Linked DNA regions of Rhinolophus ferrumequinum. The protein of the gene in region 2 purifies or fractionates together with the protein of the main gene of each other region. This does not show direct contact. Links are inferred from orthologs where the notes say so. Each region holds a gene or a part of one and is shown on either strand. Other genes may lie near its edges.

The links.
Region 1: the proteins of RHOC (region 2) and ARHGDIA purify together in Homo sapiens (affinity purification with mass spectrometry; 4 studies listed by BioGRID and IntAct, with this or other methods). This does not show direct contact. The link is inferred for Rhinolophus ferrumequinum from reciprocal best matches to the Homo sapiens genes RHOC and ARHGDIA.
Region 3: the proteins of RHOC (region 2) and DAAM1 purify together in Homo sapiens (affinity purification with mass spectrometry; 3 studies listed by BioGRID and IntAct, counting the BioPlex papers as one, with this or other methods). This does not show direct contact. The link is inferred for Rhinolophus ferrumequinum from reciprocal best matches to the Homo sapiens genes RHOC and DAAM1.
Region 4: the proteins of RHOC (region 2) and RAP1GDS1 purify together in Homo sapiens (co-immunoprecipitation; 3 studies listed by BioGRID and IntAct, counting the BioPlex papers as one, with this or other methods). This does not show direct contact. The link is inferred for Rhinolophus ferrumequinum from reciprocal best matches to the Homo sapiens genes RHOC and RAP1GDS1.

What each region holds. Positions count from the first base shown.
Region 1 is NC_046304.1:54,657,734-54,665,413, forward strand, and holds the start of ARHGDIA (rho GDP-dissociation inhibitor 1), read right to left. Parts: upstream 3,001-7,680; 5' UTR 2,879-3,000; intron 1,447-2,878; 5' UTR 1,420-1,446; coding exon 1,230-1,419; intron 1,087-1,229; coding exon 1,003-1,086; intron 771-1,002; coding exon 694-770; intron 608-693; coding exon 544-607; intron 435-543; coding exon 235-434; 3' UTR 1-234. UniProt on the Homo sapiens protein: Controls Rho proteins homeostasis. Regulates the GDP/GTP exchange reaction of the Rho proteins by inhibiting the dissociation of GDP from them, and the subsequent binding of GTP to them.
Region 2 is NC_046305.1:43,950,948-43,958,320, forward strand, and holds the start of RHOC (rho-related GTP-binding protein RhoC), read right to left. Parts: upstream 3,017-7,373; 5' UTR 2,775-3,016; intron 1-2,774. Other genes in the region: PPM1J (protein phosphatase 1J), read right to left, coding at 5,478-5,625, 5,754-5,905, 6,022-6,129, 6,290-6,353, 6,554-6,672, 7,213-7,297. UniProt on the Homo sapiens protein: Regulates a signal transduction pathway linking plasma membrane receptors to the assembly of focal adhesions and actin stress fibers.
Region 3 is NC_046289.1:35,264,324-35,271,941, forward strand, and holds the start of DAAM1 (disheveled-associated activator of morphogenesis 1), read right to left. Parts: upstream 3,014-7,618; 5' UTR 2,901-3,013; intron 2,731-2,900; 5' UTR 2,670-2,730; coding exon 2,550-2,669; intron 1-2,549. UniProt on the Homo sapiens protein: Binds to disheveled (Dvl) and Rho, and mediates Wnt-induced Dvl-Rho complex formation. May play a role as a scaffolding protein to recruit Rho-GDP and Rho-GEF, thereby enhancing Rho-GTP formation. Can direct nucleation and elongation of new actin filaments.
Region 4 is NC_046288.1:50,129,137-50,136,592, reverse strand, and holds the start of RAP1GDS1 (rap1 GTPase-GDP dissociation stimulator 1), read right to left. Parts: upstream 2,894-7,456; 5' UTR 2,839-2,893; coding exon of another isoform or gene 2,792-2,838; coding exon 2,788-2,791; intron 1-2,787. Other genes in the region: myosin heavy chain IB, read left to right, coding at 2,790-2,838, 2,894-3,452. UniProt on the Homo sapiens protein: Acts as a GEF (guanine nucleotide exchange factor) for the Rho family of small GTP-binding proteins (G proteins) that stimulates the dissociation of GDP to enable subsequent binding of GTP.

The DNA.
Region 1 (7,680 bases), on a different chromosome or scaffold from region 2:
TGGGCTGCAGCTTCCCTCCCCCACAGCACAGGATGAAGCAGCAACAACACTAGATCACCGGGAGGCTGGGGCCTGTGGGCTGGGGAGGGCCGGGCGGGCCAGGAGGCAAACCAGGGGAGATGGCAGCGTGGGCAGGGGCCCTGTCAGCACTTTGGTATGGGGTCGGGTGGGGTGGGGTGGGGTGGGGCGCATACATCCCTCCGTCCATCGCCCTGCCCGCCTCCCAGGCCGGGCTCAGTCCTTCCACTCCTTTTTGATGGTGAGGTTCCACTCCCAGGACAGGTGGTCAGTTTTGTCGTCGTCTGTGAAGCGGGACTTGATGTTGTAGCTGCCCCGTGCCAGCATGCCCTTGGGCGCCTCCTCCATGGGGGTCAGGAACTCGTACTCCTCCGCCCGGGGCCCGTAGCTCCCCACCATGTAGTCGGTCTTGTCAACTGCAGGGCAGGGAGGCGGCGTCAGGGAGCCTTTCCTCCTCCCTCCCGATCCTGGCCCCGGGGCCACCTCCCTCCTGGGGGCCAGGGCCTGGCGCCCACCCTCACTCACTCTTGACGCCTTTCCGGTATGTGTGCTGGATGTACTTCATGCCGGACACGATCTCCCGGTTCACCTGCCGGGAAGGACCCCACGCGGAACTCAGCTGGGCTCTCCAGCCCCGGCCCCCCCAGCGCCTCCCTCCCAGGGCCCCCACCTTACCCGGAAAGAGATCTTTATCCGGTATTCCACTCCCTCCTTCAGCACAAATGACTGCTTCTTGAAGCTCTCCAGGTCGCCTGTGTTCAGGAGAACACTGCGCTAGGAGGCTCAGCCAGGGGAAGCCGCACCTGGGCAACTCCACTGGGACTGCATCCCCCCTGCCCCCCCCCACAGCCAGAGCCTTGACCACTGGGCGGCCCTTCCTGTGCTCCCCACGAGAGGGCGCACGGTCTCCAGGAAACCATTTTTAGAGGAAGCAACAAGGTGTCCAACACAGCCTCAGCCAGGGACCTCAGAGGCGCCACTCACCTGTCAGGTCCAGCTCCAGGGGGCCTGGGGCAGTGCTACACACCAGGGTCAGGCGGGTCACAACAACGTTGGGGACATTGGGGTCTGTGGAGTGACAGCAGGTTAGAGCTCCACCCCTTGGCGTCCCACCTCAAGCACACAACTTCCTGCCTGGGGTAGGGAGCCGCACGGGGAACTCAGAAGAGTCACAGGTGTCCCCTCAGTCTCAGTGCCGTCCAGCCACTCACCAGCTGAGACGGCCACGCGGCCCAGCAGGGCCTCCTTGTACTTGCGCAGGCTCTCGTCGTCTTTGTCCAGCTCCTGGATCTCCTGGATGCTCTTCTGAGCCGGGGGCTTGTAGTTCACTGAGTGCTCGTCCTCCTCGTTCTCGGCCGCAATCTGCGCCAGCTGCTCAGCTGTGGGCTCCTGCTCTGCCATGCTCACCTCTAGCTGGGTCCGGAACACCTGCAGGGGGGCGGAAGGGGCTGTGGCAGCCTGCAGGGACCCAGTGTCTCCCCCTCCCGCTCCCTGGCAGCAGGGGGCTGTGTTGAAGGCATCTTTGCAGGTGGCCAGACCCTGTAGCTGCAGCCAAGGGGTGATGCAACTTCTGGAGCGGGAGGGCAGCTGCAGCCAGACCTTTGCAAAGGGCCTAGACACAGGCTCCTGGGGCCAAGAGGGGCCTCACTAACTTGCCTTGCCCGTCTCAAGGGACTAGGCATCCCCAGGGGGTGGCACCAACCCCAGCCTGGACTGGCAGAACCCGACTTAGTCACCTAGAGTTCTGCTGCTCTGAAGTGCCCAGGTCCTCACCCCAAGGTACCCCTCCTGCTGGTTCAGGGAGCTGCTCTGACCAGGGACACCCGTTGGCCCCGTCCTGGCCAGAATGCAAGACCTCTATCCACAACACAGGTCAGTTCTGCCTCGCCCTGCAAACACAGGGCTCTCCTAGAGCTCAAATAACTGGCCCAGCCTGAATCCCGCAGGTAGGTCCCAAAAGCGCATGGGGAACTTTAAGTGTTTGCCCACATTCTCTCCCGCTGTGATGGTTTGTGACCTAGAGTTGGGAGCTGCTGCAGCTCCTGGGTATTCTCAAGACCCTCTTCGTGAAGCAACGGCTAGAAGAGCCTGGAGCAACACTGTTGGAGCAGGCGCAGAACAGTACAGGAGGCTAAGGATCCTTACAGCACCCCCTAGCATCCCGGACGGTGTGTCTGAAACCCCCGCAGACCCCTCTCGTTGTGTGGGAGGTGGGTCAGGGCCAGCTGACCCCGGACCTCAAGTTGCCACGGGATGAGAAACAACGCCTGGCAGCCGGGGTCTGCCCGAGTACCAGATCCCACAAAGGGCCGCTCTGAGCGGGCCGGCCGCCCCAGGCGGGGTGGGGCCGCCAGTCCCTCCAGGCCTCCCAGGCGCTTCCTCTGGAATTCCTCTAGAAAGCTCACGCCCTAACGCCAGCAAGTGCGGACGCAGGCGACAGGATCCTCCAAGCGCACTGCCGGCGCCCGCACGGCCGCAGGACCCGCAATCAGGGCTGGCCGAGGGGTGGGGTGGGGTGGGGTGGGGTGGGGTGGGGTCGGGTGGGAAGCTCGGAGACGGCCGGGGGCAGGGCGCGCCTTCCCCAGGGGAGGGGCGTCAGGCCTGGTGCACCCGGCGCGCACCGGCGAGGGGGCGCCGCGCACGAACGGCGGCCACAAAGAGGCCTGCGCCCCCCGCCCGCACGTGGACGCCCGTGCGCCCGGGGACCCGCCCTGCGCCCCGGCCGCCGCCCGCTGTCACTGTTGCCCCCGCCCCCGCCCCACGCAGATCCCCCCGGCGGGAGGGGCGGACAAAGACTCGGCCCCCGCCCCCTCCCAGCTCCGCCGCTTTCGCCGCCTCCGCCGCCGCCCCTGGCGCTCACCGGAGGCTCGACCGCGCCGCGCTCGCGCTCCCTCCCGCACAAAATGACGAACGTCGGCGCCCCGCCCGCGCGCGCCCTGCCGGCCACTTCCGGGGTCACGCGATTTCCGCTCAGGCCGGGCGGGCCGACGGAGGGCGCATGCGCGGGCGAGGGGTCTGCCGGGAGCGCGCGGCCGCCATCTTGCGGGGCCAATCTCGTGGGCGCGTCCCGCGTAGGCGGCTCGCGAGGCCGGTTTGCCCGCGAAGGCTGGTCTGGTTGGTGCTTCTGCGCCCCTTGCTGCGGGCATTTTTCAGCTCGGGCGTCCCCACGGCTCAGCCCGCGAACTCAGACGGGGACGGGGCAGTGTCACCGTCTTGCGTGGACCCCACCTGGACGTCGTGCGTTTCTGCCGCCATCTGTAACGCGCGGGACTGTCCCTCTGCAGGCGCGCAGCCCACGTCCGGGCCCAGCGGGCCCTGCTCTGGCAGCCAGCGCTGGCCTGGTCTCACAGCCCGGTGGTCGCTACACCCGGGGTCCGCTCCGGCCGCTCTCCCAAGTGAGCCAGCCCGTCGGTCCTCGCCATTGCCTCACCCTCCTGGAAGTGAACACTGGATGTTCCGTCGAGTTCACACCAACCACTCACAGGACGCTCTGTGGGTTCCCGTCCTGTCCAAGTCCCGGGGGTGGGCATCTCCTGGTGTCTTGTGCACCCAGCACAGACAGTTGGGAGGCTTTGGCTAGAAATAAAAGGTAAAAATTGATTTCACCTGGCCAAGGGTTTGCAAAGCGGAAACCCAGGCAATACCCAGAGGGTTCAGAAGAAGAAAAGCTAAGAGTTCTCATAGGAAAAAGCAGGCTGTAAGAATCGGTCCAGGGCGGGCCCAGTGGCTCAGGCGGTTGGAGCTCCGTGCTCCAAACTCCGAAGGCTGCCGGTTTGATTCCCACATGGGCCAGTGGGCTCTCAACCACAGGGTTGCCAGTTCAACTCCTCGAGTCCCCCAAGGGATGGTGGGCTGCGCCCCCTGCAACTAGCAACTGGACCTGGAGCTGAGCTGCGCCCTCCACAACTAAGACTGAAAGGATAACAACTTGACTTGGGGAAAAAAAGTGCACACTGTTCCCCAATAATAAAGGCCGTTCCCCTTCCCCAATAAAATCTTTAAAAAAAAAAAAAAAAAATCCGTCAAGCATTCTAGTGGTGCTGGATTGGCCTGAGATTACAATCTTCCAGATGTCGGTGGTTCGGACCTGGGAACACTTTTCCAAGCCCTTCAGAGGCTGGCTGTAGGATATATACGTATTTCCAGGCATCCACGCACAACTGGGAAGTTCCACAGTTGAAGTGCTCACTCAGGCTGGTGAAATAAAACCCATTCCTCACGCTCAGCCCATTTGCACTGAACCAGTTTTGTTGGCTTGACTATAGGAACTCCATTTTGAGTCATCTTTTCTTCACTCACTCCTCACTTCGCAGCCTGTCCAAGGCTGTGCACGTGACCCTCTGCCCTGCCATCCCCTGCGATGAACAAGGTTCAGTGTCCAGGGCACGCTTGGGCCCAGCACTGCCCTCCTGGAGAGGGGTCTGGCCACTGTCCTGTGCCTGTATGTTCCCCTCCAGACTGAAGGAGTATTTTTGGGCCCAGCACACTTGGCTACCTTGTGAGCAATACTTCAGGGGAGCTGGTCACTGAGGAACTCCTCGCCTCTCATGACTTCGGAAGCTGCTGGCACAGATGACACAGTTACTTCAGTCGGCTCTTTACCACAGACCCCAGTGTCTCCATTTGTGTGCTCTAGTTGTATGGATTTCAGACCTTGGTCCACACACCAAACAACATTCTGTAGCACCAGGGGCCCCATAAAATGTGGGCTGTTTCGCAGAGCCTGCAGTACCCAAAGCCTCGCCCGGCACTCCTCCGTGTGGGGTCCAAACCCCTAAATGCCCCACCTGGGGGGTGTGCCACCCCACCTTCACCCCCCGGCACTTGTAAAATTGTAATCACGTGACAATGGACTCATGCCTCCTTCAATGATGGTTCAACTCCAGGACGGTAGGGCCCTTCTGTCTGGTCTACACTGCCTGGCAGGGAACCCAGGCTGACAGAAGTCATCGCACACACACCTCTGCACCGTTTGCAGGAGGGCATTTGGGGTGATAGAACAATGCGTAATACTGAGCTCAGTATGTTTTGGAAAGATCTCTCTCCCTTTTTGAGGTGTATTTGCAATTTTTCTGTAACTGAAAGTTGCACTATCAACTTTATAGGCAGAAAGTTTGGCCAAAGGCAGAGCATCCTAATTGGTGTTCAGTGTGTTGCTTCTGAGGCAACTTACTGGGGACCGTCCCGCTGCACAGCCACCTGAGTCATGGCTCGAGGACAAATCTGCTTTCAGATGACCCATGTACCTTGAAAAGAAAACCCAAACTCTGTTATAGAAAATTTAAACATATGTGTATTAGTAATCTCTTGCTGTGTAAAATATAGCCTGGAATTTAGCAGCTCAAAACACCCAACCCTTATTATTTCCCATGGTTTCTGAGGATCGGGAAGCAGCGTAGCAGTGCGGTTCATGGTTCTGGCTCCAGGTCTCTCAGGAGGCTGTGATGAAGCTGTTGTGCAGGAGGGCCACGGTCTCCAAGACCTGCTGGAATTCCAAGTTCACGCACGTGCTTGGGCCCTCAGTTCCACACCCGTGGGCTGATGGCCTGAGGATTTAGTTCCCTGCGACCTATAGCTCCCGTCCCGGCCCCTCCGTAGAGCTGATCACACAGGGCAGGTGGCTTCCTCCAAGTGAGGCCTCAGAGACAGACAGATGGACAGGCAGAGGCAGACAGAACAGAGAAGGGGGCAGCAAGCAGTCAGATGAAGCCGCTGCGTTTCTTACGATGTCATCTCAGAAGTGTCATGCCATCACTCTGCCCTACTATACTGGCACGCAGATCTGTCCTGGCCCAGCGAAGTATGGGACTGCAAGGTGTGAGTGCCAGGAGGTGGCCCACCGCACACCAAAGTAGAAAGCGTGGTGTCATGAACCCTGATGGACCTTCCACGTGGCTTCAGTGGCTTTCCCTGGCAGCCAGTCCCGTTTGACCTGTCCCTCTTCCTCCCCACACACAGCTTGAAGCAAATCTCACACGTGGTTTCCACCATGTGGATTTCAGTGTGTGTTTATTCCTAAGGAAAAGGATTCTTTTTTTTGGATAAACAAATTTGAGGGTCCCCACGATCACCCCCTTAAGTTAAAAAATGCGCTAGAACAATTCACAGAACTCAGAAAAGCTCTTCACCTGTGATCGCCGGTTTATTATAAAGGACGCAACTCAGGACCAGCAAGAAATGCGCAGGGTAGGGGTGCGTGGGGGGGGGACTCCGGGGAGCTCCACCCTCCCAGCACTTACCCCTGTTCACCACCTGGAACCTCTTCAAACCCCACTGTTTAGGGGCTTTCATGGAGGCTTCATTAAGAGGCAAGACTGATGAAATCGTCGTTGGTGATTAACTCAACCTACAGCTCTGTCCCCTCTGAGAGGTCAGGGGACCAGGTTGAGAGTGCCAACCCTCTAATGATGCCTAGTCTTTCTGGTGACCAGCATCCATCTTGACACCACCCAGAGTCATCATCTCATTACCATAAACTGCTTGTGGTTGAAAGGGACTGGTTACAAATAACAAAAGCCACTCCTGTCAGGACATTCCGAGGGCTGGAACTCTGGGCTAGGAATGGGGACAAAGGCCCAATCTACCTTGATTGTGCCACAGTCAGTTTTCTGTGCTTGTGCCCTCAGGTGCGGAGGAAACTGGGACACCTGTGGTTGAGACTTCCCTTACTGGCACTTCCGGATTACTGGCCTGCCTCCGCCCTCCCGGTGTGCTGTCCTACGTCTCAGGCTGGACAAGCCCCAGGTCAATTTTCAGAGGTGCCATGAGCTCCGGATGGCAGGTTGGCCTGCTGTGCCACCCTCAGCATTATTCTCAGCAGGCGTATTTCATCAGGCATCGCAAAGTGCTCATTTCCTAATATGCCAGCACTGCTTAGCTGGAATTCTTTTTTAAAAAGCTCTCCCCATCAATGATTTAATCCCTTCGAAATACAGTTTGTATAGAAAACAAAACAGATTATATGTTTGTTCCTTTCATTTGCCAATTTTCAGAATGAATCATTTCGTGCCCAAGGAGTCCCCACCCTCAACCCCTCAACGAGGACAAAGAAAGGTTGTCTCTGAAATAACTGCTGGTGACTTGAGTGGCTTGTTTATGATGGATTGTACATCTAAGAAAGTGGGATGCTCAAATTAATTTTTACATATAGATGTTATTTTACAATTAATGAATGTGCTAAAACATTTTATAATTTGTTTCTACAACCTGCATACGTAACATACAAACTAACTGTCTAGGGTAGGTGACCACAGACACATTGATATATTGAAAATTAATGAGATTACCTCCTGGTTTTATTTTTACATTAAAATCTTTAATGATGCATTTTTTATTGCTAATTTCACCCAAATAGTCAGTTAATCCCAGGGTGACTCATTAATAATAACAGTTAATTAATGTAAATCATATAAACATTTATGAAAATTACACAACCATATGTAATTCCATAATAACTAATATATGCAAATTAAAAAACAATAAAAAATAACAACAAAAAACCCCAGCAGGGTATGTTGGGGAAGCCACCATGAAATATAACCGGTAAGGATGAACTCAGTATGGTACAAATGACACAACTAACAGTGAAGCGGGTGGAAGAGAGAAAGGGACTCACATTTTGGGCACCAGCACGACCCCGGGACTCCATGGCCCGACACAGAA
Region 2 (7,373 bases):
CTTAGAAGGGTTCTCAGGGACATGTCCAGAAGAGCCAGCCTTTATCTGCTATACATATCAGGGTTTCAAGTCAGACTTCATTTGTTGCCAGGGTTTTGGTACTTTCAAAATTTAATAATCGCTAAGGTCCGATCTAGAACACACTGTCCCTCCGCACAAGTCATGCCTGTGCCAGTCACAAATGAGCCCCTCTTTAAAATCACAGGCCAACAGAACAAGCTCCCAGGCGGTAGGTGGATAAGGGAAACTGCTGGCATTTTAACAAAACTTACCTCCCTCAGTCCCCAAAGGCCTGGAAGGGAGATGGGAGAGCTTCCTGTTTTGACAAACTAGGAAAGTGAGGCTGAGACATTCAGCAGAGTCGTGGCAGGGACGGCACTCAGAGCAGGGCTGTGTGACTATAGAGTCTGTTGCCTTTTCCACATGTCACCCCAGAGGTAGAAAGAACAGAGGCAGGGAAATCAAGACAGAAGTGGCAGCAGCCAGGTGGTTTCCCTGGCCCACCCCATCCCGGTTCCCAAAGCCCCAAGTCATACAAAGGAGGCTCAGTCCCGAAGTGCCCACAGCCCACATTCGGGCAGCCTGCCTTCCTCCCCCCTTCCTCCTGGGCCTGGCAGCAACACTGGGTCACTCAGCCCCAGGCAGGGGACAATGACCACACTGTAGGGAGCAGCACATCCACCACAGCAGAGCGAGTGAGAATAATCCACCAGGGAGTCACCTCCACCCACTCCCTGGAGCAGCCCCTCCTCCCCTTTGTCCAGTTCACCCAAGGCCCTGGCCACCCCTCCCAGTGACTCAGGGCAAGGAGTCAGCTTCCTGGGGTTTCCACGTCCTCCACACTAATAAACATCGACACAAGTTCATCAGCTCCCAGATTCCCTGCGGAGCTGAGCCTCGTGTCCTCCTCCCCTGGGGACAGGGGCTGACCTCCGGCCGGCTCAAGTGCCCAGGCTCCACGCCTGGAGGAAGACAGGGGCGGGTTCCAAGGCTGACGTAAAGTCGAGGCTGTTGGGAGGAGCCCCCAAAAAGAAGACGAATGAGGGCCAGTCCCAGCACCAACCAGGCAGGGAGTAGTTCAGAAAGGAGAGGGTAACCTGATCTCTGCCCAAAACCTGCCTTTTTCTCTGCGTCCCACATCCTGTCAAACTATGTTGAACGCCTTTACTTCCCACATACCACCACCAACTATCTCACACCCCTGGCTCTGTCTGCCCTTTAGGAAGTGAATATTCCAGCCCAAGTCTAGTTCTCTTCAACAGTGGGGTCCTGAGTGGTTTCCCTCCTCAGCACTTTCTCTCTCTCGCTCTCTCTCTCGCTCTCTCTTTCTGGGATGAGGGGAAGTGGATGTGAGTCAGAGAGAATTTATAGGAGTTGAGAGTACACGGTCACACTCTCCCTACCTCAAAAAGGGCTCTCCCTGACACCCTAAAAGACAGGCAAGAAGGCATTCACCATGCCAGCTGATCCCCTCCAAAAATGGAAACCATCCTTCCCAAAAGGGGTTCCTTAGAAGTTCTACCCAGGTGACCAACTCCTCCCTCGTTCCATTGGTCCAGCTGTGTGAAAACAGTGGGATAGCCCCAATGTGAGATGGGCAGTGTCGATGGAGGGCAATGATCAATTGCTCAAGCCTGAGAACGCAACTGTCCTCCCCCAGCAAAGCAGTTTGGGTGGCACTAGACAGTGGGAGGCGCAGGCCAGAACTCAGGGTCAAGGGCATGCATTAAGTGACCTGGAGCCCCCAGCTCAATTAGAAGACTTTCCCTTCAAACTCTGGTTGGCCCAGGCCAGCGCACTTAGGCCCAAGGCCAAGGTGGCAAGGATAGCAGCTCCCTGAGAGAAGCAGCCCCAGAGGAACTGCCCCACTGACCCCAAGAGGGGCAACCAAACCCCGCACATGGCCTGGAATGGAGCCTGGAACTCCCGGGGCCTTCCCTGAGACAAGAATGACATCCGCCACCCTCTCCTCAGTCATTCTATGGATTTCCAGATGACCCGGGGGCCAGCTGTTCCCTGCCGACCACCCTGAGGTGTAGAGAAAGAATCAGATTCCTCCTTCTCAACTTGAACACGGGAAGTGAGAGCAGAGGGCAGGACTCGGCCTCGGGTCTCCCAGACCAAACCTCCAGGATAATCTTTAATCTTTAGACAGGTTATGGAGTGTGAGGGAGAGGGCTGGAAGGGAGGAGATCCTTACACACTTACACACAGACACACACACACACACACACACACACGAGCTGGATCCTTCCTAATCTCCCCTACCTCCACCCAAGGCAGGCTCCAGGAACCGTCTAGGGCGGTGTCCACCCCGCCCCTATCCTGGCCATCCTCACGGCCGGGACTGGGGGTAACATCACTTCCACCGGGCCTTGGCCTGGACCCACACTCCACCCCAGGTCCACCGCTGGCCGCCCGGCCTGGGAGTTGCCAGGTCTGGGCGGAGACTCCCTCCCGGAGACCCAAGTTGTCCCCTCTCCCAGGCGGGCAGGTTCCAGAAGAGAAGGGACTCTGGCTTGGACACCAGGAGGCTAGAGCCCCGGTGGGGCAGTTCCCGGGGCCCAGCTACAGCCCAGGAAGAGGCTGAGCCGGCCGGACCCCCGCACAGCCCAGATGCCGCGTCCTAGACGAGAGAAGGCGGCCGGCGCTCTGGCCAAAGCCCCCTAGCCAGCCGGCGCCCCGCGCTCCGGCCAAGCGGAGAGGGGCAGAGTACTCTCCCGGGGACCAGCTCCCGGGACTCCCCGCCAACCCCAGCCCCCGGCCCTGGGTACCTTCCGTGTGGCCGCTTTCAGCTGCGCTGCGGGAGCCGGAGGCACAGACTGACCCCGGCGCCCCGCCCCGCCCTCCTCTAGCGCCGCGGCGGGGAGGGGCGGGCCCGGAGCGGGAGGCTCCGCCCGCCCACAGCTCGGGCTCTGGTCACCCAGTGGTCACCCCCGCCGCTGGCTAGGGGATCCAGGGCGCCGGCCCCCGGGGTCGGAGAAGATGCCTGGATTGGGGCGGAGTGGGCGGAGGGGCGAGGCAGATCCCTGAGGACTCTCCCTCTGCCCCGCCTCCCAGCCCCTAGGGGCGGACCGGCGTCGGGAAAGTTGAGAGGAGCTCGGGGTGGGGTCGAGAAAGGGCCGCTGCTGCCCTCCCGTGGCCACCCAGCCACCTGTCCCTACATTACCTGGGACCTCCCGGGAGGCGGGACTGGGTATAGGGCGGCCTCCGGGACGCCCAAGTTGGGGGCTGCGAAGGAGACCCACCTTCTGTTCCTAGAATCGTTGCAGCGTCAGTACAGCCCACATCATCCCCCAGCCTTGAGAACTTATGAGAATCGTTGCGACCCGGGCCAATGTCCTATACTTCACAATTCCCTTCCTTCCCCAGGCCTGGAATTTCCATGAGTTCAATTCCTACCTACCCCTCAAAGGGCACTCGCGGAAATCCAGATGCCCAGCTGGGAATTCAGTTTTCATCCGAATAGTTATTTCTGTGCCGCTAAGGGCACTGAGCCCCGTCTGACTTGACACACGAGGTATTTACTTACACGTGTTATCTCCTTCCTCGTAAGGTACCGTCTGAGGAAGCAGATGTTGCTTGAGGACGGCTACTCACATTTTATTAGCTTGTGCTCCGTAACTACACAGCTCCGCCCTTTTTCTACTCATCACAGATCTTCGGGTAAAGTATACCAATCCCCTGGTGCCTGTAAAAACCTGAGGCTCAGAGAAGTGGCTAGCCCCAATTTTTGCAATATGTATGTGACAGAACAAGAATTCAGACACTGGGGCCTGTCTGGCCCCCAAGCTGGGCTCTGTCCCTGCTGTCCCCTCTGCTCCAACCTGTCCCTTCCTGCTGGCCAGCACAGTGAGTGGCACATAGTAGGCTGTCAACAAATATTTGCTTAATGAATGTCTTAATGAAGTCTACAGACTTGAACGATCTGAAGTGCAACCCACACATTTGAATAACGAAGAAACCCAGGTCCAGAGCACTTTGGTCCCCAGGCCTCTTAACCTGCTCAATCAACATTTATGGAGTGTGAACTGAGAGCTATGTGCTCAGTTCAGATCAATAAATTCAGAATATAGACTACTTAAAGATAGCTAACAGTTATTGAACCCTTATTATATGGGCCTGGCTCTACACATGTGAACTACATGAGTCCTTACAAGAACCTTATGAGGTAGTACTGTTATCTCCATCTTACTGAGAAGCAACTTGAGGCTCAGAGAGGTTACAGAGCTGATATTGGATCTGGCACCAGAATCCAAACAGCAGGACTCTAGAACCCCTGCTCTTAACTGTGACTCCATACCGACTCCTAATACAGACAGTCATAATACAGGAGGCAGTCGTTATAGTGGGGGCATGCCTGGGCTGTGGAATACCCAGCCTTAGAGGGCGGGAGGAAGAAGTAGTGGCCAGATCATGAAGAATCTTCTATGCCACACTTGAGTTGAGTGTTGATTTGAGTCTCGGTGCAGTGAGGAGCCACTGAAACGTTCTCTCAGGGAAATAACCAACTGAGATTCACACGGCGGAAAGGTCACTCTGTTATGTCCCAAGTATATTGGGGGAAATGGGAGAGTGGCCTGGAGACAGAGTTCGGAGATGAATTAGGAGGCTAATGCAGTCAAGAACTGAGGTACTAAGGTAGTGACACGGTGGAGATAAGTGGAGAAATATTAAATACATTTTTATATAATCAACCATACTAAGTGATTGATTAGCTTGATGAGGAATAGACGGAAGCCAAAGGTGACCAACTCCAAGCTTTCTACCTTGAACAGCTGAGCTGGTGCCCAGAGATGACGAACCAGAGGTACATGTCTGTTGAGGAAATGATGAATTCGCCTTGAGGTGTGTTCAGTAAAGTGTCTGCCGAATGCCGAGGAGATAGATGGGATATGTGGGTCTAAAGCAGGGGTGTCCAAACTGCGGCCCGCAATCCATTTTTAATTGGCCTGCAGCAAATTCCAAAAATATATTTAGTTTACTTAAATAAACCAGGTGAGGCAATACGTACTTCACCTCGAGTGAGTGGCCCGGCTGTTTGTGTATTTTACCGCATAGGGCCCTTGGTGAAAAACGTTGAAAAAAGTTTGGACACCCCTGCTCTAAAGCTCAGGAGAGGTCTGGGCTGGAAGTACTGACTTGGACAAATGAGGCTGTGTGGAAGAGCAGGAAGAGCAGAGGGCAGGAGAAAGAACCTGGGAACACGACAATTTCAGGACTTGTCTGGTGTACGTTCCACCACCCCAAAGAGCTTATCGTAACCTTTCGGTTTCCAGTCAAAGTAATTAAAGACACACATTTTTTAATCCATCTGGTTTATTTGCCAATAGCTATAATTTTGGATCTAACTGATACCCCTTCTTCAGTTAAACCGCCACTTAAAGAAGGTCAGGGAGACAACTTCAGAACTTGGGCGGGTGGGGCGTAAGCATGGAGAGGCTGGGATGGCGGCGGGAGGGTCGGGGCTGAGCCTCTCAGGAGTAACTACCTGGCCCTCCCAGGGGGATGATGAAGACCGAGATGTCATCCCCGGAACCCAGCTTGTTGTTGGGGAGACGCCAGCCACGGTCCCGGGGAGCGCCCCGGGCCCCCAGGACTAGAGCTTGGGCCAGAGCTGTGTACCTGCCAGAAGCACAGGAGCACATTCACGTACCAGCATGTACATGGGAAGATACATACACAGGCCCTCATTGCTTCCCTTTACCCGTTCCTTCCCCACTGTCATCCCTTCACTGTCATTCACCCCCTACCTGTTGGGGTCATTGGGCTCATAGCCTGACAGCACCCTGTCCACAGTGGCGGCTACCTCACAGTCACTGGTGACATCCCACAGCCCATCTGTTCCCAGGACCAGCACGTCATCCGGGCAGTGCTCATATTGTGTCAGGTCATATACTCGCACCTGGTGGGAAAAGAGAGTGGAGAGGGAGCTTGCGGATGAGGACACCGGCGGTGAAAGCCAGCCTAAGACCCCCGGAGGAGGTACAGTGTGGTTAAGGAGGTCCCCATATGGCTCACCTCAGGGAAGCAGGACAGGAAGGGCTTGATGGGCAGGGTGGAACTGCAGACCTTGAGGTTGTGGTCTCCTAAGCCCCGGGTCACCCCAATGGTGGCCATCATTCGAGCCTAAAGGAAATGAGGCAGGGATGCTGCTATAGCCCTCTCCCAGACTCTCTGAAACAGTGGACCCTCCCACCCCTGCCCTGCCCTCAGGTAGAACCTCCACCTCCCTAGACAACTTGTGATGGGTCCTCCGGCCCTCTCCCACCTCTATCATGGAGTTTACCTTTTTGCCCTCCCCACAGACCAGAGGAAACCTGAGATCCTCCAGCTCGATCTTTTTGTAGGCCCTGGGGAGGGGGGGAGTAGAGGAGGCATGACCCAGGCATCAAAGGCCCTCTCCCCTAGGAGCCACACCCCTCACACAAACCCCTAAGAGCCACATCCCCCAAACTCCCAGCCCGGCCCAGCCTCCAGCTTCCCCCTTGCTGCTGGTGAGGGACTGCTTGCGTTACTATGGGAATGGACCCAGCTCTGAGGGAAGTGTTACCAGCCGGTCATGGTCTGGTCCCGGTACAGCATCCTCTGACCCAGCTCCTTGGGCTGAACTCTTCGAGGGAACTCGAGGTGGGTGAATTCACCCCCCAGTAGCTCCGGTTTCATGAAGCCCTGGGGTTGGGAGTGGCCAGACAGAGCAGAGGGCCAGGGGCCATGAGGCTTACAGCACACCCTGGTGTATAAATGATCTTACTTGGAGCAGACCCTTAAATGGAGTTTACAAGGTGGGGTGCACTGTCTAATATTAGCCTATATTAACTCATTTACTGCTCACAACAACCCTCTTAAGGCAGGAAGTACTGACGCAAGTTAAGGGAATTGTCCAAAGTCACACAATTAGCAAAGCACTCGAATCAGGATACAATTACAGACAGTCTAGCTCCAGAGCCAGTGCTTAAAACTGTAAACCCCTCTCGGGCCTTTGCCATTCCCTCCCCACCAATGACTCCACTTCCTTCCTCAGCCGGGGCCTAGAGGGAGCACCTGAGCGGCCCCTACTCCTTCCTGCTGCGTCCTCCACCAGCTCAGCCCTGTACTCCTCCCAGTAAGGAGCTGTCTGTCTGTGTGTTGGGAGGGAGTCCCTGGACATAGGGCACAAACAGACACAAAACTCAACAAAGAACAGGGGTAGGACGTTTGGTTCCTACTTACGAGCAGCTGAAGACGTTGGCGCTCAGTCTCCGGGGTGAATTCCCGAGACATTGGAATGATTTCACCATTCCGGACAATGATAGCTCTGCCCAGAGAAAGAAAAGATTTGGCTTTGACTCTCCTCAGATCGCTCGTGGAGAATTCCAGAAGGGCCAGAATGG
Region 3 (7,618 bases), on a different chromosome or scaffold from region 2:
CAACCAGTGGCAATAATACAGCTCTTGGATCTCCAATCATGGCTCTACTACTTTATATTGATTCAACAAATATTTATTAAATACCTACGGGACCAAAAACTGCTTTAAATACTGGAGAGATAGAGATAGACAAGACAAAGACACTGCTCTCAAAGATCTTAGGGGAGTGGGGGAAAAACCCATACATTGGAATTGGCGTCAGAATTATAGGGAGACAGGAAGTAAACAGGTAATTAAATGAGATTGTTTTTTCAGTTAATGATAAGCTCTAGGACAAAAATAAAGAGTGATTCTGGATCCAGACCTATAATAAATGCAGACTTCTCAGAACCCACCCTCCCCCAAAAAAAGAGTGAGTGACAACTTCTAATACCACTTCCTCATGGGGATGTAACCACCTGCTTCTTAGAGATGAGGACTGTCAACCACTTGGCACACAGCATCTGCAGCATTTATTTACCTGCACACATAGAGAGATGCTCACAGATACACACACACACACACACCTTAATGGCACTATCTGTGATAATCAACCTTAGTATGAAATGAGAGCAGAAGAAAAACAAAATATTTGTGAAATTTAATTATACTTAATGCAATTACATCACAAATAACTGCATTCATCAAGAATCTGTAAAAAGGCAAAACCTAAACAATTCTAAGATAAAAGGATAAATAACAGTCCAGATCCTGGGTTAATAGCAGGAGTATTAGAGATAATATTACAAATAGTAACATGGCTACCTTGCCCACTTTGCAGGACTGCCATGAAGAGCCACATTATTTTTCCGTACAGTAAGGCTCGGTGTCCGAAGCTGGGTTTAAACTCTAGTGTTCAGATTTCTTTGAGAAAAATAAAAGACAATGACCAAGTCCTTCTTAGAGTCACAAGATTTTATACCTAGAATCAACTTTAGGAAACTCTCTGTACACTCTCCCCACTTTACCAATGACCAAGGTCCCCAGAGGTAAAGGGTTAACCTAACAGTGGAATAGCCAGTGATGACAGAGCCAGTGTAGGGCTAGCCTTTTAGATTTTATCAGAACCACAAGGGATGGCAGTGACTTCCAGAATTCAATTTCAGTTATTGTCCCTAAAGACTTCAGTGAGTTGCACCTATGGCAGATTGAGGATCTTTACTGGTGGCCAGAGATTTGTCTTCAAGCAGGAGAGCTCCCTCCTTGAGAAAGCTGCTTCCAACACTATAATACATGTTACTAGGAAAATGATGCAGCTAGCCTGAAAGGGGAAAGATACCTTTCAATTGTAATTTTCAGAGTTTCCCTCAGGAAAAAGGCGCCCAATAATTATATCTGGGAAGGGAGCTGGAGAGACCAGGTATGGGAACTCCAGAGAGAAAGGAGCGAAGAATTGTGTCCAAGATATTTACAAGAGAATGGACAGAGCCCCCGGGCTGTGAAAGGGACGCAGAGGAGAAAGCAGCTGGGCCCAAAGCAAGCACTTGACCACACCCACAGGCCACGCCCTCCCAGCTGCCAGCAGAGCCACATCGAATTGAAACAGCAGTGAGAGCAGTTAAGATTCCGACGGCAGGAGTCGCCATGGCAACGGGATTCATCTTGCAGGCAAACTCCGCTTCAATTCACTAAGTCCTTCTCGAGCCTCAAGAAACTACCAGCTTAATGGGAGCAAAACTGTCACGGGAGGCATTTACTGTTGATGCTCACCTGGGGGTGGAGATGGGAATCAAGAGGGCGGGGTTGGGAGAAAGGGAATGTAGGTAGCTATTCCTGGGCCCACTAAAATATTTTATGAGGGCAAGAGGCAGAACACCCCAAACCCAGGCTGTGAGCAACTTGAGAGCAGAGCCATTAGCAGGGTTTGATGAATGAGTAGGCGAGCGAACAAGAGGGGCAGGGGAAGGCAATCCAGAGGGCTTTATAGAGTTCTCGGGCCTCGTGCACGTCTCCAATCGGAGGGCAAGTGGATCACAAGAAGCTGGATTTTCCGCATCAGCTGGGAAAACCCGATTACCCAGGCTGCCTGCCCCACAAGCGAGCCTTATCATTAGATTATTTGACACCCCACCGCTTTACCACCTCCCAACCCAGGGCTCCGGGCAGACGCTTCGCCTCAGCTCAGGTGCTCTTTGTCGAGGGAGCAATCAGTGCAGGGGGGACCAAGATGCGCCCTCCCCGGAGGGACTGGGGGCAAAAGAGCTCTGAGGCTCCTCGAACCCGGTCCGCAGGAGGCGCAGCCTCCCCTCGCCGCTGTGCGCCAACACCCCTTGCTCCTTCTGCAACGCGGGTTTCCCCTCCTGCCCCTTTTGAAACCTCCAGCTTACAACTTTGCCTGAATTACAGTCACCCCACCCCTTTCGAATGAAGCGTGAAGTGAGGGTGTCAGGGATGGTGGACGTTCGGCTCAGAGTCCCTCCTTCCTGGTCGCCACCTCCGAATCCACCAAGCCTGCCTCAGGATTCCTCCTCTGCCAGCAGCTCCCGACAGCAGCAATGCACGCAACCCGCAGCCGAGGCCACGACCCCCAGCGCCCCATCCCCGGGGTGCCTGCAGCAAGACGGCTGTACCTGGTACCCTGCCTGCTCTCTTGGCATCCGAGCGCCTCTGAAAGAAAGGAGGGAGGGACCCTCATCCTCTGGGGCGCCTTCCTCCGGGCTCGCAGTGCTTTGCGCCGTGCTTGCAGCCATTTTTCCAAATCCAGCTTGGCAGCCCGGAGCTGTCTAGGTCCTGTTCGCACCCAGACCTAACCTGAAGGACGGGTTTAATATTTACCTACTGGCCCGGGAGCTCCAGGGAAGCAGCGGGAGGGCGCGCCGCAAACCCAGAGCCCGGCCCGAAGAAGCGCGCCCACCCCCGCTCCACCGCTTGGTGCCACTTAATGAATGAGTGCGGCGGGCGAGGCGGCGCATCCCCCTTACCTGAGCAACCCCTGCATGCTGGAAAGGCGGCTCTGCGCTCTGGGTACAATGGGACCCGGTTAAACAGTTTCCTTCACAGCCGCTCGTAGGTTACCAACTCGCAGGTGACATCACCCTCTCCTCCGCTGATAGGATACAATGTAGCGCCCAGTGCGCATGGACTCCCCAGCCTGGCCCATGGACTCCTGGTAGTTGTAGTCCCAATACCGCAAGCAGAGCCTGGATAGCCACGCTACCGAGGTTAGCACAACTACAATTCCCGACGCATTCCTCGGCATCTTCGTCCCCGCCCCTAGTCCCGCCTCCGCCGGGACACCCCGGCCCTCCCCTCCTTGCAGCCTTGCAGTGTTAGCGGTGGCGGTGCAGAAGCTAGGCTGCGGGCTGCGCGGGCTAGAGACTGGGGGAACCCTGCCGTGGTGCTATTTGACTTGACCTCCACTCGTCCCTGTGAGAGCTCTGAGGGCCCCGAAGCGTCCGGGGCTAGTGCGCACCGGCCAGGCACCTCTGACCAACCCTGCTCTGTTGGCCTCAGCTGAAAAGAGACGATTAAGTCTCTCACTGTCTTCCCTACGCGTAAACTAATTAATAGGACGCACGGGTTTCTGGGTTAAATGCGGTCCTGGAATTCCCCCAAGCCCCAGAGGATGAGGCGAAGCCGACCCCGCAGGAGAGAAATCCCCGCGTGTCCCACTTCGTACAATTCACCTTTCTGTGTTCTCTTTCCTTCTGCCATTTAACGGAGTTCGCGGGGAACAGCTTAGTTGGCTGAGCTGACAGAATAACGGAGGCTGTCACTAATAAAAATGCAGAATAGACAAGACAATCGCCGCAGCCCTCCCTCAGGGAGCCTGCTGCTGCTGCTGCTGCTTCTGCCGCTGCAGAGATAATACTGTAGCGCAGCCATGCTTTTGTTCTTTCCTGCAGTGGACTTCCCGCTCTGATGGCTCTCAACTCCCAGGAAGACATCTTTTCCTAAAGTTTTAATGACATATATACGTACACATGTACTGCTAAATCCCTAACACTCTCGCCTCATTTCCCATAGCTTTCTCTTCAAATATTTTTTAAATGACCTAAACCAAACAACAGCGTGCTATTCAAGAATTGCCATGATCTTAATACACCTAAATGTTTAAAGGTAAGCAAAAAGTGTGTATCAGAATTCTGAACCTTCAGGAAGATTTCATTTTTAATACAATAATATTAAATAATAATAATAATAATAATAAAATGTTTCCGTGGCATTTTTCATTGTTCAATGAATACCAAATATTATGAAAAAATGATCATTCAGAGCAAATCTTAAGCTGTTTTTTTAAATGAAAAAAAATCAATGCATCTACATAATTATTCCAGTGGCAAAGATAGAGTACATTATAATGGCATTTGATGTTGCAATCACGTAGAAGGATCAGCTCACACCCCTATTTCTATTAGCAAATCTCTGGAAGACTACATCTTGTGAAAAGAAAGTTCACAATTAAAAATTTTAAAGAACTCTCCATCTAATTGTTGGTGGAAGTTTTTCTTATCACTCTTATTTTCTCATCTCATTGTGGAACAATATCTTGGGTTCAAGAGAAAAATATTCATGGAACTAGTTGAGGATCTCAGGGGAGACGAAAATGCTTTGTTCTGCTGAGAGAGGTGTTTTAGTGTTGAATTCTGATTTTCATTTAACAAGCTCATTCCTCATATACTAGACACATTTTTCCCCACTGAAAGAAGATAACTTTGAACGTTGCTCTCCTGTTCTGAGCTATCCCATCCATTCCAAATATTATCTTAAACAGAACCCAGACAACACAAATGTTCCATTGGCCGTCAGATCAAGAGTACAATCAGTGATATTCTAGCTAATGGGTAAGCTTAATGTATTGCAGTTCATTGTGGGAAAATATTCAGAAAGTAACTTGACCTGGGATGATTCTAAAAGCTCTCCTAGTTTTATAACTGTGTAAAGCTTTAGATGGGAATATAATCAGTGAGCCTGAAATTTATTGAGGCAAATTGGGTGTGGAGATTCTCCATAAAGCAGGGCTCGTCCTTACAGATAAAAGCATATTATTGAGGCACACTCTGAGGACTAACTTTACAGGACAAATCAGCTTACGGCAAGTTCTCTTGGGTCTTCAGCAACAAAGGAGAGGATGGCATCTGCCTTTAAAAAAAAAATCTAATCTCTGTAGCAATTAATATTATAGGGATATGTCATGTTACATAGCTCATTTCCATCTATAAAGGACATCATACACAATAGAGTAGAAGCACAGGAATGTGTGGATGTGCATGTGTGAGCTTCCTCCCTATTAAATAGATATATAAATATAGATAATAGATATTGAAGGCAAGGCATTATGTTTGGAAGCATTTTGCTATAAGTGTGATGGATTTGAACAGATCCCTGCACACTGTTTCACTGGTAACCAGGGGAAACAAAGATGGCTCTTCAGCATCAGAAATGCAGTCTGGATCCAGAAGAAGCTTAATTTCTGTGGAGACAGAAGGGATCTCTCTCTCTCGTTCTCTCTCTCTCTCTCTCTCTCTCTCTCTCTCTTTCACACACACACACACACACACACACACACACACACTCACACACTTATGTTGTGTGTTTGTATTTAGTTCTTTCTAGGTGACTAAGTAGTCTCATAAGCTATCAAAAATACCGATCTGTCTAGCTTAATCTATAATATTCTCAAAGGATTTCTTTAGGATTTTTCTTCTTTTCTTTTTAAATGACTGCTGCTATCCTCAAATGAGCTTATACGAAAGGCCTCGTCTTGTCCCATAATCACTGCCTATTAATTAGGAACCTGTGGGACCACTGAGAACAGATTTAGTTGACCTGCAGGTAGAGAAGGGGAAAGGCACCATGGAGTATTTTGCTGATCTTTCAAAATAATCTCTCAGTTCTGATTACAAGGTTTTACTCTAGCTGTTGGGTTTTAGATAAGGGAAGAAATGAGACATCAACAAAGAAAGAATTTTATGTTTGTAGCCTGGCATGTGTTTTCACACAATAACTTGGTGTTTTGCAACAATTGAGGTTATATGCTTGAGACCAGGTTTGGGGTCATGCCATTTTACCACTTTTGAGCAATGTGACTGCTCATTCTCTCTGAGCCTCAGTTTCCTTATTTTAAAAATGGGGTTAATAATAAAACCTATTTCATGAGGATTTTGAGGATTAAATTATACTTGTAAAAACACATTTCACATTGAAAGGTAGTATACAAATGCTAATTCTTGTTATCATTTGCAATTTTTCCCTAAAGATTATCTCAGAAATGTCACCCCTAATTATGGAAGAAGTTAATAAAGACCTATTTGAATTTAAAAAATCTTATTCTTAACAAGAAACTATGAGAAATTATACGGCACGCACATATTATCTCACTAATTTGTAAGTAGGCAAAATGTACTTTGAAGAAACGACTGAGAAATCCAAATTGAACAGTGCTGGTTCTTGGCTTGTTTTCAGATTTACACCTTGTCCTTCCGCAGTGCCCCAAGCTGTCTTCAGCATCATAGGCTGTCTTCTCCAAGCTTCTCAGCATGGAGAGTTCTGCTGGGAGATTGGAGGCTGGAAGGAGGGAGAAGCCAGGTTATTTCTCCACCTCCTCAGAGTTGCACTGGGTGATGTTTCTGGCAGCATCAGCAGTATTTCCTCTGTTGGACTGGTCTGTCGTGATTCCAGCATCTTTTGGATCACCCCAGCCTTTGTTAACACCACCTTCTCCCTTTTTCCCTCCAGCCTAAGGGTGGAGGTAGCTTCCTGCTGTTGCCAATCTCTCACTGCATGTTTGTCTTCTCAGACCTTCTATCACCCATGAGACCAATTCCCTATACTATATCATATCTGTTTTAAATACTCAGAATGGTTTTCGTTTTCATGGTGGAACATATAACTGATACACTTACGTCTTAGTTCAAGTTATTTTGTGGGCAGGCAACACAAACTTTCTATGGCCAGTTTATGCAAAGGAAGGAAGGAAGGAAGGAAGGAAGGAAGGAAGGAAGGAAGGAAGGAAGGAAGGAAGGAAGGAAGGAAGGAAAGAAAGAAGTAGGATTTATTCAAAGGATTGAGCAACCAAGGCTCCATCTAAGAACAGGTACCAGACCAGCTCTCAGAACCTAAACAGTGGTGGGTTTTGAACCTTTTAGCTAGCTCATTACTCTAATAGTCCTCCATCTCGGTGTCTCTGTCTCTCTGTATGGTGTGAGATGGGTACTAGACTTATCAGGGTGATCACTTCGTGAAGTATATAAATATCTAATCACTATGTTGTACACCTGACACTAACATAATATTGTATGTCAACTGTGATTGAAAACTAAATTTAAACAAATTTTTGACAGAAGCTGATTGCCCTGTCTTAGAGTGACTTTCTCTAACTTAATCATCTTCATATGCCGTGGTTCTTAAACGGGGGACCCCAGTAGCCTCCGTATCACCTGAGAACTTGTTAGAAATGCAAATGCTTAAGCCCCACCCATAGACCTACAGGAAAAGAAACTTTAGGGCTGGGTTCCACAGTCTGTGTTTTAACAAGTCCTCCAGCTGATTCTGACACATAAAATTTTTTGAAACCACTCATCTGCAGCAAAGATTACAAGATCGTATGGCTCAGATATGATCACTCAGGATCTCTCCCTGTGTGGGAGTCTTCCCAGAGAGGAAACAGTGTTGTGAACTTGGCAGCCACCCCAAGAGG
Region 4 (7,456 bases), on a different chromosome or scaffold from region 2:
ATATCATTTATACTTTATTTCTACTATAATTATCTGTGTATGTCATACTCTTCCTGTTAATATTATAAGCAACTTGAAATTAAATGTCTTATATACCTTTGTCCTCCCACAATACACTGCACATGATTGACATTCAATAAATATTAAGTACATGTTGAGTTTATAATAAAATACATACATAAAATAATAGCATAGTTCATAAAATTATATAGGAAGTTTCCTTCAGTTCTTATGTAGAAAAATTACTGCCATGAGAATATATTTTTTTAAAAGTTGCCTTATTTACTTCTTGAAAAGACAGATAAAAAAGTGTTTTCCCCCCTAGCATTAATCAGTATACCTTCTACCTCTTACATGTACATGAATTATTATAATAACTTCCTTGGCTCAGAATATAAAACGGCTTTCCACGGTTTAAATTTTACATTATTGCACGTACCTACTGATGACACACTAAATCACCTTACCGTTGAAAACAACCTTGTAGAAGGAAATGGCTTGCTGGAGGCTGCCCCCAAACCCATACCTCTCAGACAACCCAACTTTTTTTGTTGTTTTTTTCAGAGAGGAGCAGTTGTAGTATAATTATACATCTCTATTCCCACTTTCTCCACACCTCCAATAACATCTACCAACCCAAATGTTTTTCAGAGACCATACTTTCAGGTTCACAAGTTAAAAATAATAGATGGGTTTTAAATTCAACAGTTAATTCACCAAAAATTTCCTTAATACCTACTATGTGGAAAGCACTGTTGGGGACACAAAAATTAGTAAGACATAATTTTCATCTTCTAGAACTCACTATTAAATGCACAACAGACACACATAAACAGTTCCATTATAAAGCAGATTATGTAAGTTCTAAAAAGCTTCCAACAAGGTACAGACAGAGTGCTATGAGGAGAGACGAATTTAATTAAAGAGTTTCTGAGAAGCTTCAAATAAGAGATGGATTTCTATTTGGCTTTTTTTTTTTAAAAAAAAAATCAAGCAATAACATTCCAGATTTCCAGGATTAATTATTTTTGAGTAAATAATTTCGTTTCAAGTATTTTTATTCACTAATATTGAAGAATTGGGAGTTTTTCCATTGAAAAGGTACTGATTTGACATGTTAGTTAAAATTTTAGTTAAATAGATTTTTTTAAAGTTCACCTTGAAAGAAAACATTGGAAGATGTATTTTACAGACCACTCTTGTGGTATATAATTAAGAAGAAAATTTTTTATGTTCAAGAAAAAGATACAATGTGTCCAATAATCTTAATATTTACTTAAAATTCTACTCCCAGAGAAAGGCTAGGTACATATAAATGGGCCTCTCTGTTTTTACAAGTGTTTGTTCAGCATATCAATAGTACATTAAAAGGGAAAAAACTGAACAACTGAAAATGAAATTCAAGGCCCTAAATTCATTTTTCATTCACACCACCTCTTCCTCCAACACTGGCTTCTTCCAGATATATGGTCAAAGGTCTAAATCAGACCTTGAAGAATTTGCTTTTCAAGTAGGCTCTCACGACACCATTTCTAGATTTAGATAACTTCCTTGTAGATTCTGAGTTGCCATGACCTAACTCTGGACATGCTGAACACTGGGGACAGATGAAAGGATCACACTCATTTCAAGCTTAAAATAACTTGCACAGAAGGGGTGGGAAAAGTCCGAGTTGACAGATGACAACGGAGCACATTTTAAAAAGAGGAAATTATACCACAGGAAGGAGTGAAACAAACTGGGGAACACACAGAAGTATGTTATTCCAAATAGCTACTATTAAAAACAACAACAAAAAAATCTTTGGCTTTTAATTACATTACAGAATTCATCAGACGTTTTTGTAATTACTGAACTTAACAGTCCCACAACATATGAAAAACGGTTAGGATAAATGATATGTAGTTTTACAAAACTACATTTGCATTTCAATATCTCATTCAAACCAACCTCTTGGGATTAACTACGTAAATACAAAAGAACCCAAATCAGATTATGTAGATTTAGGCAGGGGACGCTGGGAACGGATAACTAATATAAGTTCGGTAACATGTCACACGGTGCAGTTGTCTGCTACAGTAGACAGGCGAGGGAACCCCGTACACGGGTTGAGTACAGGAATCCTGCACACTGTAGTCACCCAACAGTAATTCAACAGCTAGTGGCTCTATCCATCCTTCCTACATTCCTCGTGGCCTCTGACAAGTCATCCTTTCAACCTATGAGGCTGTCCGCTCTCGCTCATCGAAAATAATTTCCGTGCAGGTAGTAAAATCGCCCTCACAAACTACTTGCTCCCACTTCCCCGCCTCGGGATGCGCCGTCCCCACGATGGGGAAAAGGTCGCCCAGCCAGGGAAGTTACGTGAAGTGGTCTTTCTCGGGGTCGACCCCGAGCCTGCAGCCCCGCAGACGCTGGGGAAAGGCGGCAGGCGGCCTCGGGAGAACGGCGGGTGGGCAGAGGATGCGAGCCCGCGAGGCAGGCTCCGCGGTGCCCCGGCACCGGCTCGGGCAGGAAGAATGGAGGAGGGGAGGCGCGGCGGCGCGGTGCCCGCGAGCGGCGCGGCGGTCCGGCCCCGCGGCCCGACCCCACCCCACGCTCGGGACCCTCCCGGCCGCGGACCCGGCGAGCGTTCCTCGCGCCCTGACTCCCCCGAGGCAGAGCCGCCGGTTCACACCCGGGGATCTGAGAAATCCGGCAACTTTGCGCCGAGAACGCTTCCCACCCTGCAACACGCCGAGAAAGAGGAAAATGTCAGGCGATGACGGGGGAGGAAGGGTGACTTACCCATGTTCCTCCCGAGGGTGAGGAGCCAGCAGGGCGAGGCGAAGGTCTCCGGTGCAGGCGTCGCGGCGCTGTGTCCTCCCTCTGCCTCGCTCTCGCCCGCTGCCAGGGAAGGACCCGCGGGGGGTGGCCGCCGGGGAGGAGCAGCTGCTGCTGCTGGGGCTGCTGCTGCTGCAGGCGGCGCGGCCGCGGCGGGGACGAGCGGCGGGGGGCGGGGCGGGGCGGGGCGGGGCGGCGGGCGCAGCCTGCGGCGGGCGCGGCTCGGAGCGGGCGGGCGGGCGGGCGGCGGAGGCGCCGGGGCGGCCTGGAGACCGCCCGCCCCGACGCGCGGCCCGGAGCGCCCCGCCCTCCCCAGCGAGCATGCTCAGTGCCGCCCTCCTTTTCTCCCCGTGGCGAGGGAATCTCGGCGTGCGGGTGGGCGTGTGTCTGCGGACCCGCTGCAGCCGCCGCCGCGGAGGACCTTGGTGGCGACCGCCTGGGGGGCGGGGGGTGGGCCGCGAGCAGGCCTCGCGCTGGGGTACTGAGCCCGAGCTGCTGCCGTCCGGCTCGCCCCAGGCTTGCTACGGGGCCCCCGCCACCCCCACACCCGGCAAACGGGGCTCCCCGGCTGCACAGGCGGGAGGTGCCCGAAGGAGGAGACGCTGGGCCGCCTCAGTCAGGGCAGGACGGTGAGGAAACCAAGCGGACGTCCTGAAACGAAGCGGGATGGACGTAGAGCGACGTGGCCAGGGGCTGGGTACCTGGGGACGCCCGTGTGCCGAGCAGCCGGTGGGCCCGCGGGGCAGCGAGCGGGGAGGTGGCCGCTGGGAGGGCGTTGCAGGTTAGCGGGCTTATCAGTGGGACGGCTCCAGGCGGTCCTGGCTGTGGCTCGTTTAGAAACAGAGAGTTCCGGACAGCCGAGGAGAGTGACCGCCCAGGATTTCCTCCGGGAATATGTCTCTCTCCTTCCTCAAGAGGGCGGGCTTCCATTCCTCATCCCCCGGAGGACGCCTGAGAAGCCATTTAACAGGGGGTGCCCTCGCCTTCGGGCTGCACCCAGCTCCGCCCCGCTCCCTAGGAACGCGGCAGGAAGAGAAAAGTCCGGCTGCGTTGGCTGCGGCCCGGCGGGGCTGGCTGGATCGGTCACCTGGGCCGCGGATGGCTCCCGGCACCTCCCAGGTGCGCCGGGAACCGGGGCCGGGCGCTCTCTCTTGAGGGCTTCTCCCGGCTGGGCATGCGCGCCAGGTGCGGGCCGGTTTTCGGTTTCTGCCCTGGGAGAGGAGGCTGCAGGGACTCTTCCCTTTCTCCGCACCTGGTCTTGCCCTGACCCGTCTGTTTTTGGAGTTGAGGAGTCAGGTCGCCAGGAAGAGGGGAGCAGTCAGCAGCATAATCTGTGGGAGGGAGATGCTGAATAGCTGAATGGAGGTTTCTTTCCCCCTTTCAAATTTTACTCTTTCAATCCAATGTTGAGAAAAGGTGCATTTTACTCCTTTCATCGGTGGCCCCTTCTTAGATCAGATCAAATTTCCGTTTGTATGACAGAAGTTCCTGCAAGCACAGAAGTCAGAATGGGCCTTGTAATTTGTTCAGCAGAGAGCAGATTTTATGTGACTTTTCTAAAACAAAAATGAAACCGTTAAAAAGAGAGGTTTAGTGAAACAAAATACAATGTAAGTGCAGAAGGCACAGCTATAAAACTTCTGATGCACAAGACAATGAGGCACCTCACTCTTGTGTTACACTCCTTCCCTTGCTGTGATTTTTAGGATGATCTTTCTGTTTGCCTCAAAGTAATCTTACAAGGTTGAATTAGTTTCCAGCTGGTGTAACAAAGTACCAAAAACTGGGTGGCTTAGAACAAGAGGAACGGGTTCTCTCAGTTCTAGAGGCCAGATGTCTGAAATCAAAGTGGTGGCAGGGCCATGCTCACTCTTGAAGGCACCAAGGAAGGATTTCTTCCTAGCTTCTGGTACGTCCTTGACTTGTAGCATAACTCCAGCCTTCAATTTTCCATTCATAAGGACATCACCAATCCGATTAGGGTCCCAACTACTCAAGTATGACCTCATCTTTAATTATATCTGCAATGACCCTATTTCCAAAACGGTCATATTTCGAGATACTGGAGGTTAGGACCTCAACATACGAATTTGCGGGGGACACGATTCAATCCATAACATACACCAATGCAAGCTCCAGCCTCCACCCCCCTTTGTCCCCCGACACACACCCATACCATGTTCCACATTCATTTTGGACCTCTCCAGAAGACCACCCTGGCGCATTTGTATTGCTCATTTTTTGTACCTTGGTCTTTCCTTGACCTTCATTAATCTCTTCCAGATTCTCTAGTTCACTTGTTTCACTTTTCCTGCTGCTTCTTTTTGTAATTAACTACAATAATTTAATTACAATAATGTCTAAGAGCATCTTCTGTCTTTCGTTTGGATATATAAATTGAAACTAGCAGCAAAAATAGTTGATGCAGCTTTGTGACCTCCCACCGGATGCTAGTTTGAGTGCCTTTTTGTTTTGCTTGAAGCCACAAGCCATCCCCTCAGCCCTTTTACCAATTTAAACCACAGGATTGTTCAGGCACATTGCACACAATGAGTCAGTCCCAACACTGATGTGTAACCATGGTGAGACCCAATACGGTCGCCTCCCTTATCCACACTGACTACATTCCAAGCCCCCAGTGGATGCCTGAAACCACAGATACCACTGAACCCAATATGTCCTATGTTTTTCCCATACATCTGTACATACATGCCTATGATACAGTTTATAAATTAGGCACAGCAAGAGGTTAACAATAGTAAATAGGACAAATATAACAATACTGGAATGAAAGTGATGTGAATGTAGTGTCTCTCTCTCTCTCTCTCTCTCTCTCTCTCTCTCTCTCTCTCTCATAACCAATCTAATAACTGAGATGGCTAAGTAACTAACTGTTGGGGAGTGGATATGCCGGACAGAGAAGATTTACATCCTGGACAGGATGGCATGAGAATTCATCACACTAATCAGAGTAGCGCATAACTTAAAACATGAATTGTTTATTTCTGGAATTCCCCATATAATATTTTTGTACTCTTGTTGCCCACGGTTAACGGAAGCCTAGGAAAGTGAAACCTCGGCTAAGGAGGCACTGCAGTACTGCCTGCTACATGCAGAAGTGGACTGGTGGAATGCTTACCCCTTTCACACATAACGTTAGTTCCCCTCCCTTTCTATTTTAGGAATATAACATTTTTCTCATACCTTTACTTCACGTTTTTGTTCAAAAGTTACCTGCATGAGGCCTTCCTTAGCCATTTTACCTAAAATTTCAGTACTCTCTCCTACTTCTTATGCCCATTTCCATACTTTATTTTTTCCTTCGCACTTATCATTAAGGTTTATTTTGCTTATTGCCTGTCACCCCAATTTTAATTTGAGCTCCCCAAGGACAGAAATTTTTGTCTGCCTTATTTGCCATTATATTGCCAAGGCCAGAAGAATGCTAACACATAACAAGTGGTCAATAAAAATTTGTCGTGTGAATGAAAGTCTTTTTATTCTTTCTTTTAGAGTTTTTATTCTGAAAGAGCAAGACTATTGTTAATATTCTTTTTGTAAACTCTAGCATTTCACCAAGTAAACTTATTCAGTAAAGGTTTATATGGATGACGATCATGATGATGATGACAGCTGCTGTGTTGTTTCCGTCTTAAACAACAAGTCCTTCACTGGGTGGAATATAGTCTTTGTACTAATTTATGCACCCATGTACTCCATAGAGATGTATTGAGTGCTTAGTATGTATGAGGCTCTATGATGGGAACTTGGGATAAAAAACTATGGTCTGTTCTCAAAAAGCTTATGTTAGAAAATTTTCTTTGATGATAACTCTCGTCATTGATCATATAAATAGCTAGGAAATATTCACCTGATATCAAAAGAGTTTTCCAGAAATAAATCGATTAGTGCCCATGCTCCATGTTAGGCAATGGTCACAATTTGATTAGACTTGCTACAAAATAAAGGAGGGCATTCTGGCCCAATGCAGACATTTTCAAATTCTATCTAAAAATCCATATTCGTAAAGTATCACAGATTTATCTGAATATCAATTTATTGTTGAAAATTGGTTTGTAATTATTCAATAGCGTTTGGTAGTATGGGGAGTATCAAGGAAAATGTTTATTAGAAAGGATCAGAAGCACTACATTTTGGCAATGTTTATAACATATCTTCCCTCATAACCTCATTCCCTTATAACATAACTTCTAACAGAGGTTAAAAGGTGATTTAAACTATTTAAAGGAAATGGTAGGGGCAGAGCTAAAGGAAGTAAAAAGAGAGTTTCTTCAAAGAAAATAGGGAATTGATTGCCTTCACCATGATGCTCTGAATATCATTTAAGGGACTCTCACTGGAGTAGTTAACTGAACTTTGCAGTGATAAAAACTGATTTGGCAGTGAATAGTTTTCTGCCTAAACACTTTATTTTTAAAAAGCCTCAGTGAGATTAGGGTAATCCAGGCTGAACAATTGAAATGTATTAATCCCTGAAATGTTGTAACTGTAACCCTCTCCCGTCACTTCTCATTTACTTAATATATTAACCATTTCCCAAATCTTATGAAATATAAATTTCTTTTACAGTCGTATTACGTCAAACTGACTAATGTCTGCATATTGCAAATAA